2 linked regions of the Macaca mulatta genome follow. The protein of the gene in region 1 interacts with the protein of each later gene in a biochemical or structural test. Links are inferred from orthologs where the notes say so. Each region holds a gene or a part of one and is shown in the gene's direction. Other genes may lie near its edges. The genes, in order: STAT2 and IFNAR1.

The links.
Region 2: the proteins of STAT2 (region 1) and IFNAR1 form a complex in vitro, tested with the Homo sapiens proteins (2 studies listed by BioGRID). The link is inferred for Macaca mulatta from reciprocal best matches to the Homo sapiens genes STAT2 and IFNAR1.

The regions. Positions count from the first base shown.
Region 1 is NC_133416.1:63,514,233-63,518,050, reverse strand, and holds part of STAT2 (signal transducer and activator of transcription 2), read left to right. Parts: intron 1-326; coding exon 327-463; intron 464-657; coding exon 658-840; intron 841-1,073; coding exon 1,074-1,131; intron 1,132-3,112; coding exon 3,113-3,423; intron 3,424-3,725; coding exon 3,726-3,818. UniProt on the Homo sapiens protein: Signal transducer and activator of transcription that mediates signaling by type I interferons (IFN-alpha and IFN-beta).
Region 2 is NC_133408.1:14,046,806-14,050,623, reverse strand, and holds part of IFNAR1 (interferon alpha/beta receptor 1 precursor), read left to right. Parts: exon of another isoform or gene 1-599; intron 600-810; coding exon 811-934; intron 935-3,422; coding exon 3,423-3,598; intron 3,599-3,818. UniProt on the Homo sapiens protein: Together with IFNAR2, forms the heterodimeric receptor for type I interferons (including interferons alpha, beta, epsilon, omega and kappa).

The DNA.
Region 1 (3,818 bases):
GTCGAGGCATGGAGGCAGCAGTGAGCTGTATCATGCCACTGTTCTCCAGCCTGGTGACAGAATGACACCCTCTTTCCCAAAAAAAAAAGAGTGCTGTTCATCTGTGTGATCTCACTGAATCTTCGTACCTCTTCAAACCCTCGGAAGGTCGCTGTTGTCAGCAAAGTGAAGTGACTTGTAAAAGATAAAAAAGCTAAGTGGCAGAGCTTGGTCCAAAACCTGGGTTCCAAACCTAGGCTATTTCTCCATACAAGGGGAGCAGGGAGGCAGGGGCCTGGTGGGGCAGGGGGTTGGGGGACGGCTCACAGCTGCTCTTTGTGCTCCAGACGCATCATGGGCTTTGTGAGTCGGAGCCAGGAGCGCCGGCTGCTGAAGAAAACCATCTCTGGCACCTTTCTACTGCGCTTCAGTGAATCGTCAGAAGGGGGCATTACCTGCTCCTGGGTGGAGCACCAGGATGATGGTCAGCTGCTGTGCCCTGCCATTCCCACAGCCTCTCCTTTCTGCCTGGCTCCCCTCTTGCCCCTCTGCCTGCCCTTGGCTTCCCTGGCTCTGTCCTGCATCCCTCAACCGGTTTGGGACTGGGGAGCCAGAGCAGGGAGCTCCAAGGCCCGGCCTCTTCCCTCAAGCCTGCCTGTTATTGCATTCACTCTCCAGACAAGGTGCTCATCTACTCTGTGCAACCGTACACCAAGGAGGTGCTGCAGTCACTCCCGCTGACTGAAATCATCCGCCATTACCAGTTGCTCACTGAGGAGAATATACCTGAGAACCCACTGCGCTTCCTCTATCCCCGAATCCCCCGGGATGAAGCTTTTGGGTGCTACTACCAGGAGAAAGGTGGGAATTGTTGACATACTTCATTGCTAGATTGCAGAGATCTTCAGACATCCATAGATCCCACTCCTTCCTTTCAAGCATGGGAAGACTGATATCTAGAGGAGTTAAGGGATTTGTCCATGGGATACTGCTGGTTCCTATGGGGATGAGACTGCCAGGACCGTCTGAGGGGAACCTCAGGCTATGTGTCTGGCCCACTGATCTTCTCTGCTTCTTATATATGTTCCTCACAGTTAATCTCCAGGAACGGAGGAAATACCTGAAACACAGGCTCATTGTGGTCTCTAATAGGTGAGATATAAACTCTCCACCCATCCTCCCTAGTCCTTTTTGGCTGTGCTTCAGTGAATTGTCAAAAGGGGGCATTACCTGCTCCTGGGTGGAGCACCAGGACGATGGTCAGCTGCTCTGCCCTGCCATTCCCACAGTCTCTCCTTTCTGCCTTCTCCTAACGTGCCCCTATTCCAGTCTCCCCAGCCTTCCCTCCCTCCTAGCCCACTCTAGTTTTTTCCAGTTCTAGTCTCTCCTATCTCATATTTTTCTGCTGCCATCCTTAGGTTGTCTCCACAGGGGTTTCTGGATAATAATGATCATAATGACTGGTGTTAATGGGCACCTACTTGATGCCAAGCATGGAGCTTTTTTTTTTTTCCCCAGACAGGGTTTCGCTCTGTCGCCCAGGCTGGAGTGCAGTGGTGTGATCATGGCTCACTGCAGCCTCGACCTCCTGAGCTCAAGCAATACAGGCATGCATCACCAAACTCAGCTAATTTTTTGTGTGTTTTTTGTAGAGATGGGGTCTTACCATGTTGCCCAGGCTGGTCTTGAACTCCTGGACTCAAGCAATCCACCCGCCTTGGCCTCCCAAAGTGCTAGGATTATAGGCATGAGCCACCACGCCCCGCCTATATATATTTTTTTTGAGACAGGGTCTCTGTCACCCAGGCTGGAGTGCAGTGGTGCAATCATGACTCACTGCAGCCTTGACCGAGGGGTTGAAGTGATGCTCCTGCCTCAGCCTCCCAAGTAGCTGAGACTACAAGCACACACCACCACACTCAGCTAATTTTTAAAATTTTTTGTAGGGATAGGGTATCACTATGTTGCCCAGGCTAGTCTTCAACTCCTGGCCTCAAGCAGTGTCCTGCCTTGGCCTCCCAAAGTGCTGGGATTATAGGAATGAGCCCTGGCACTTGGCTGGGGATAGTTTTTTTTTTTTTGAGACAGAGTCTCGCCCTCATTGCCCAGGCTGGAGTGCAATGGCGCAGTCTCAGCTCATTGCAACCTCTGCCTCCCAGGCTCAAGCAATTCTCCTGCCTCAGCTTCCTGAGTAGCTGGGATTACAGGCTAGCGCCACCCATGCCTGGTTAATTTTTATTTTTTTTGAGACAGAGTCTCGCCCTGTTGCCCAGGCTGGAGTGCAGTGGCATGATCTCAGCTCGCTGCAACTTCCACCTCCCAGGTTCAAGTGATTCTCCTGCCTTAGCCTCCCAAGTAGCTGGGACTACAGGCACGCACCACCACCACGCCTGGCTGATTTTTGTATTTTTAGTAGAGACAGGGTTTCACCATATTGGCCAGGCTGCTCTCAAACTCCTGAACTCGTGATCCGCCCACCTTGGTCTCCCAAAGTGCTGGGATTACAGGCGTGAGCCACTGTACCCGGCCTAACTTTTGTATTTTTAGTAGAGACGGGGTTTCACCAAATTGGCCAGGCTGGTCTTGAGCTTCTGGCCTCAAGTGATCTGCTCGCCTCAGCCTCCCAAAGTGCTTAGATTACAGGTGTGAGCCACCGTGCCTGGCCTGAAAGTTTATTTTGTGCCAGGCACTAGGCTAAATGGTTTATGTTTATTTTCTCATTTTATTGAATCTACAAAATAGTCCTTTGAAGTAAACACTGTTACTGTTTTCAGCTAAGGAACTGGATTTAGAGTAGTCAAGTTTTGTACCTAAGGTACATGGCTAATAAATGATACAGGTCTGTTAGATTCCATAGCCCTGCTTTCAACCACCCTACTGCCTCTCAAGAATTACTAGGTATTGTTCTCATTTATAGATGATAAATCTGAGGCTCAGAAAAGTTAGGATACTTGCCTAAGTTCCCCCAGCTAGTAAATGCCAGGATTCAAACTCCAGGAGGCCTGATTCCGAACTCCATGATCTTTAGCCCTCTGCTCTTCTGCCTTCTTAGACTAGCTGCTTCTTGTTCTACCATTCCTTCTTTCATTTAAACCACTGAGCCCTGCCCCTTTGTCTGTCTTTGGGTATCCAGACAGGTGGATGAACTACAACAACCGCTGGAGCTTAAGCTAGAGCCAGAGCTGGAGTCGTTAGAGCTGGAACTAGGGCTGGCGCCAGAGCCAGAGCTCAGCCTCGACTTAGAGCCACTGCTGAAGGCAGGGCTGGATCTGGGGCCAGAGCTAGAGTCTGTGCTGGAGTCCACTCTGGAGCCTGTAATGGAGCCCACACTATGCATGGTATCACAAACAGTGCCAGAGCCAGACCGAGGACCTGTGTCACAGCCAGTGCCAGAGCCAGATTTGCCCTGTGATCTGAGACATTTGAACACTGAGCCAATGGAAAGTAAGTGATGAAATAGAGCTATGGAAGACAGCACACATTCCCTTTCCTACCCCTTCTCCCTCTCCCATTACAGAAAAAACTGAGCTCCAAGCTCCTCATTGGAGAGAGGTCCATTCTGTGATTCCTTTTTTTTTTTTTTTTTGGAATTACACATGCCTTCCCCCACCTCCCTACTCTTTGATCCCACAAGTTCCCCCTCAGGCTCTTCCCAGGCCTTTCCTGCCATCCTCCCTCCCTTTCCTTGCTGGGTTGGGAATTCCTAACTAAGATCAGGGCCTCACTTTTCTCTCTGGGTTACCTAGTCTTCAGAAACTGTGTAAAGATTGAAGAAATCATGCCGAATGGTGACCCACTGTTGGCTGGCCAGAACACCGTGGATGAGGCTTACGTCTCCC
Region 2 (3,818 bases), on another chromosome or scaffold:
ACCCCAGCGTCAAGTGATGCGCAGGGTGATCAGGTGTGTGAGGGGCAGCTGGATGTCCAGACTGAGGGCACTGGTGCCATCAGTGGCTATCCTACCACTCAATCCATGACCCAGGTGGTGATCCAGGGTGCTTACACCAGTTATGATACAGTTAACACAGAGGGGACAGCTGCTGAGATACACTATACTTTCCCACTCCTGCAGTGGGAGATGGGGCAGGGGGTACGACATCAGGGAGTACAGCTGCTGTTGGTACTACCCAGGGCTCAGAGGCACTGCTTGGGCAGGTGACTCCTGGCACTGGTCAGTTATTTGTGACAGTGTTACCACAAGGAGTACTGCAGGGAGGAAGCCAGCACTTGATTGCCCCTAGGACTCACCCTTACTTATCAGGACATAACACCATTGTAAATCAAGAAGCATCTCTATCTCTCTCTGAACATACAATGTGAAATCACACTGAGGCCATAAAACAGTTGAACCTCATCATAAGAGTGACTCATCAGTGTCACTAATAAGGCCAAGAAAAATTCTATTTTCATGCAGAGACCATTCGTTTTTTAATTAAAAGACAACCCTTTTTCAAAAAGGAAAAAAAATCAACTCTTTTTCCAGCTCTCTCAGATGCAGAAATGTAATTACCAGCATCCCTGTGCTGGGAGCAATCATTAGATTTTTTTAGATTTTTAAAATATACTTCATTATATTTTACTGTATTCATTCTTTAATCAGGGATGTGAGGGATAGAGTAACATTTAGAATATCTGTAGAGTTTATATATAATGTTCTTATTTCTTGTTGCCTTTATAGGTGGAAAAAATCTAAAATCTCCTCAAAAAGTAGAGGTTGACGTCATAGATGACAACTTTATCCTGAGGTGGAACAGGAGTGAAGAATCTGTCGGGAATGTGACTTTTTCATTCGATTATCAAAAGTATGTGACTCTACTTACTGATTTGTCAGAATGACCTGAATCATTTTTACAAGTTTAGCACCATAATTTTCAGATTTGGAAAGTATTTGGTTCTTCTATTTTTTAGAAATGTTATGCCTATTTTACATAGTATTTTTAACTTTGTTTCTGTAGAGACTTAGTCAAATACATCTTTGGGTGTTGAAGCAAAAAAATTGGGGATGAAGGTGGTAGACAGCATCTCTAAGCCATAGCCATTCCTTCTTTCCTCTGGGTGTTCCAGCTTCTTTCAATATAAGTTGGGATCTGAACTAGGGTGTATCTTGAGGATACGGCATAGTACTCCAAAAGGCCCATCCAAGACCTTGGAATAGGCCACGAGGTTTCCTGTGATCAGGCTTTCCTATTATCTCCTTGATATATTTAGTAGAGATGGGGTTTCTCCATGTTTTCCAGACTGGTCTCGAACTCCTGACCTCAGATGATGCACCCGCCTTCACCTCCCAAAGTGCTGGGATTACAGGTGTGAGCCACTGCACCCAGCCAATAATGATTTTTTTAAGAAACTATAAAAGTAGCTTCTGCTGCAATATCTTGATTAGATGTGAAACAGTTTTAATGGAGCATGCATCAGCATCTCCTGAAATAGGAAAGACAGATGTGAACAGTGAGGTTGGGTTGAAATTATATTAAGTTTCAAGTTTTTGATAAGGTTTTCTGTTTATAACAAGAGTTTCTGGATTTTTAGAAATAGTTTCTGATGTGGAACCTTTTCAAGAATGTTTAAGATATTTTTAATGCCAGCTCTAATCTCAGGCCTCAGATATGTAAAGTGGAAGTGAAAACTGACCAAGAATGAAGTATTTCATATGCTAGTGTATATTTTTGGTAATTTCTTTAAAATGTTTCCGTTTTGAAAAATAAGGTAGACTAGTATTTGGTTCAGCAGCAAAATTATTTTGGTATTATTTCTAGTTTCTAGTATCTAAATCATCTTTAAAATGGCATCTGTGATATTATTAAAAATAAATAAATCAGCTAATGAATTAGGCTTGACAAAAATGCCTTCCCAGAAGATAGTTTCCCTGCTACTTTTACAGTTGATGGGCTTAACATAGGTAAAAGCTTTGAAATCTGCTAAATTGGCCAGGCATGGTGGCCCACGCCTGTAATCCCAGCACTTTGGGAGGCTCAGGTGGGCAGGTCACCTGAGGTGAGGAGTTTAAGATCAGTCTAGCCGACATGGCAAAACCCCATCTCTACTAAAAAAAAAAAAACGAAAAAATACAAAAATTAGCCAGACGTGGTGGCACATGCCTGTAATCACAGCTACTTGAGAGGCTGAGGCAGGAGAATTGCTTGAACCTAGGAAGTGGAGGTTGCAGTGGGCCAAGATTGCTCCACTGCACTCCAGCCTGGGCAGCAGAGTGAGACTCTGTCTCAAAAAAAAAAAAAAAAAAAAAAAAAAAAAAAAAAAAAGAAAGCTACTAAGTTCATTTCTATCCCTCACTTTCCCTGCAAGCTCTTCCCCTTTCTGAGCAACATGTCCTTTTCTGCTTTAGGCACCCCCTGCGCGCTTGATTTCTTCATGTTTGCCCCTTTTTCAAAAGGTAATATCAATCACTTCAGCTTTTTGATTGGCCAGTTCCACTTCCAAAAATTAATTTGTTTATGTAAACGTTTTAAGTGGTTTCTGATGATGTAATAGAAGAAATTACGGAGACAGGCAAGCAGAAGGGATGGTCTTTGAGAGGGCTGTGGAAACCCTGAAACCATACTGATTCCGAGGTCTTTCTTAGGGAAGTCTATTCATAGGAGGAGGTCAGAAAGGAATCATCCAATCCAATTCTCCAATTTCTATTTAATTTTATTTTATTAGAGACAGGGTCTTACTCGGTTGCTGAGGCTGGATTGCAGTGATATGATCATAACCTATGGCAGCCTGCAGCCTTGAACCCCTGTGCTCAAATGACCCTCTCACCTCAGCCTTCCTAGTAGCTAGGACTATGAGCACATGCCACCATACCCTGCTTTGCCTTTTTTTTTTTTCTCATAGAGACAGGGTTTGCTATGTTGACCAGGCTCCGAACTTTCAGTAAGGAAGATAAGATCCAGAAACATAAAATAGTTTACCAGAAGTCACACAGCTATTTTTAACAGAGCCAACATACTAAATCCACTTTTACCTTATAGGTCATTTATTTCTCTGCTTCCTTGAAATCGTAAAGCAACCACCCAAAAAATTATATAAAGAACTGTATTTTAAAATTCAATTTTATAAGTAATAACTTGGCTTATATGCATTGAAAAAGAGTGGAAGGGTGTACCCTGAAATGTTAATCGGACATTAGCTCAAATAGAAGAAATAACTCTTAAACTAAAAATAGAAATAACTCTTAAACGAGAGTTATTAAGAGTTAAGAAATAACTCTTAAACCAGTAAATATAAAGTATTTGACTATACTTATACATTTGCTCACTCATTCATTTGTTTTATTTTACTTTAAAGACCTGAGATGGATAATTGGATAAAATTGCCTGGATGTCAGAATATGACTAGTACCAAATGCAACTTTTCTTCGCTCAAGCTGAACATTTATGATGAAATTAAATTGCGTATAAGAGCAGAAAAAGAAAACACTTCTTCATGGTGTGAGGTTGACTCGTTTACACCATTTCGCAAAGGTAAGAAGAAGTTGCTGAATTATATTCCTCAGTAAATATCGCCGGAGCAGTTCACTTTCCAAGCCATTCATTTGCATGATGCAAAATCTAACATCTTTGAAAAAGAACAAAAATTCCCTTAAACCTGTATCTTCTTCCTGCTACGGCTCTATTTTTCCTGCTTTCCCTGTAGTAGTAGTTCTCAAAGGTCCTCGAGGCCCTTTCAGGGGGCTGTAAAGAC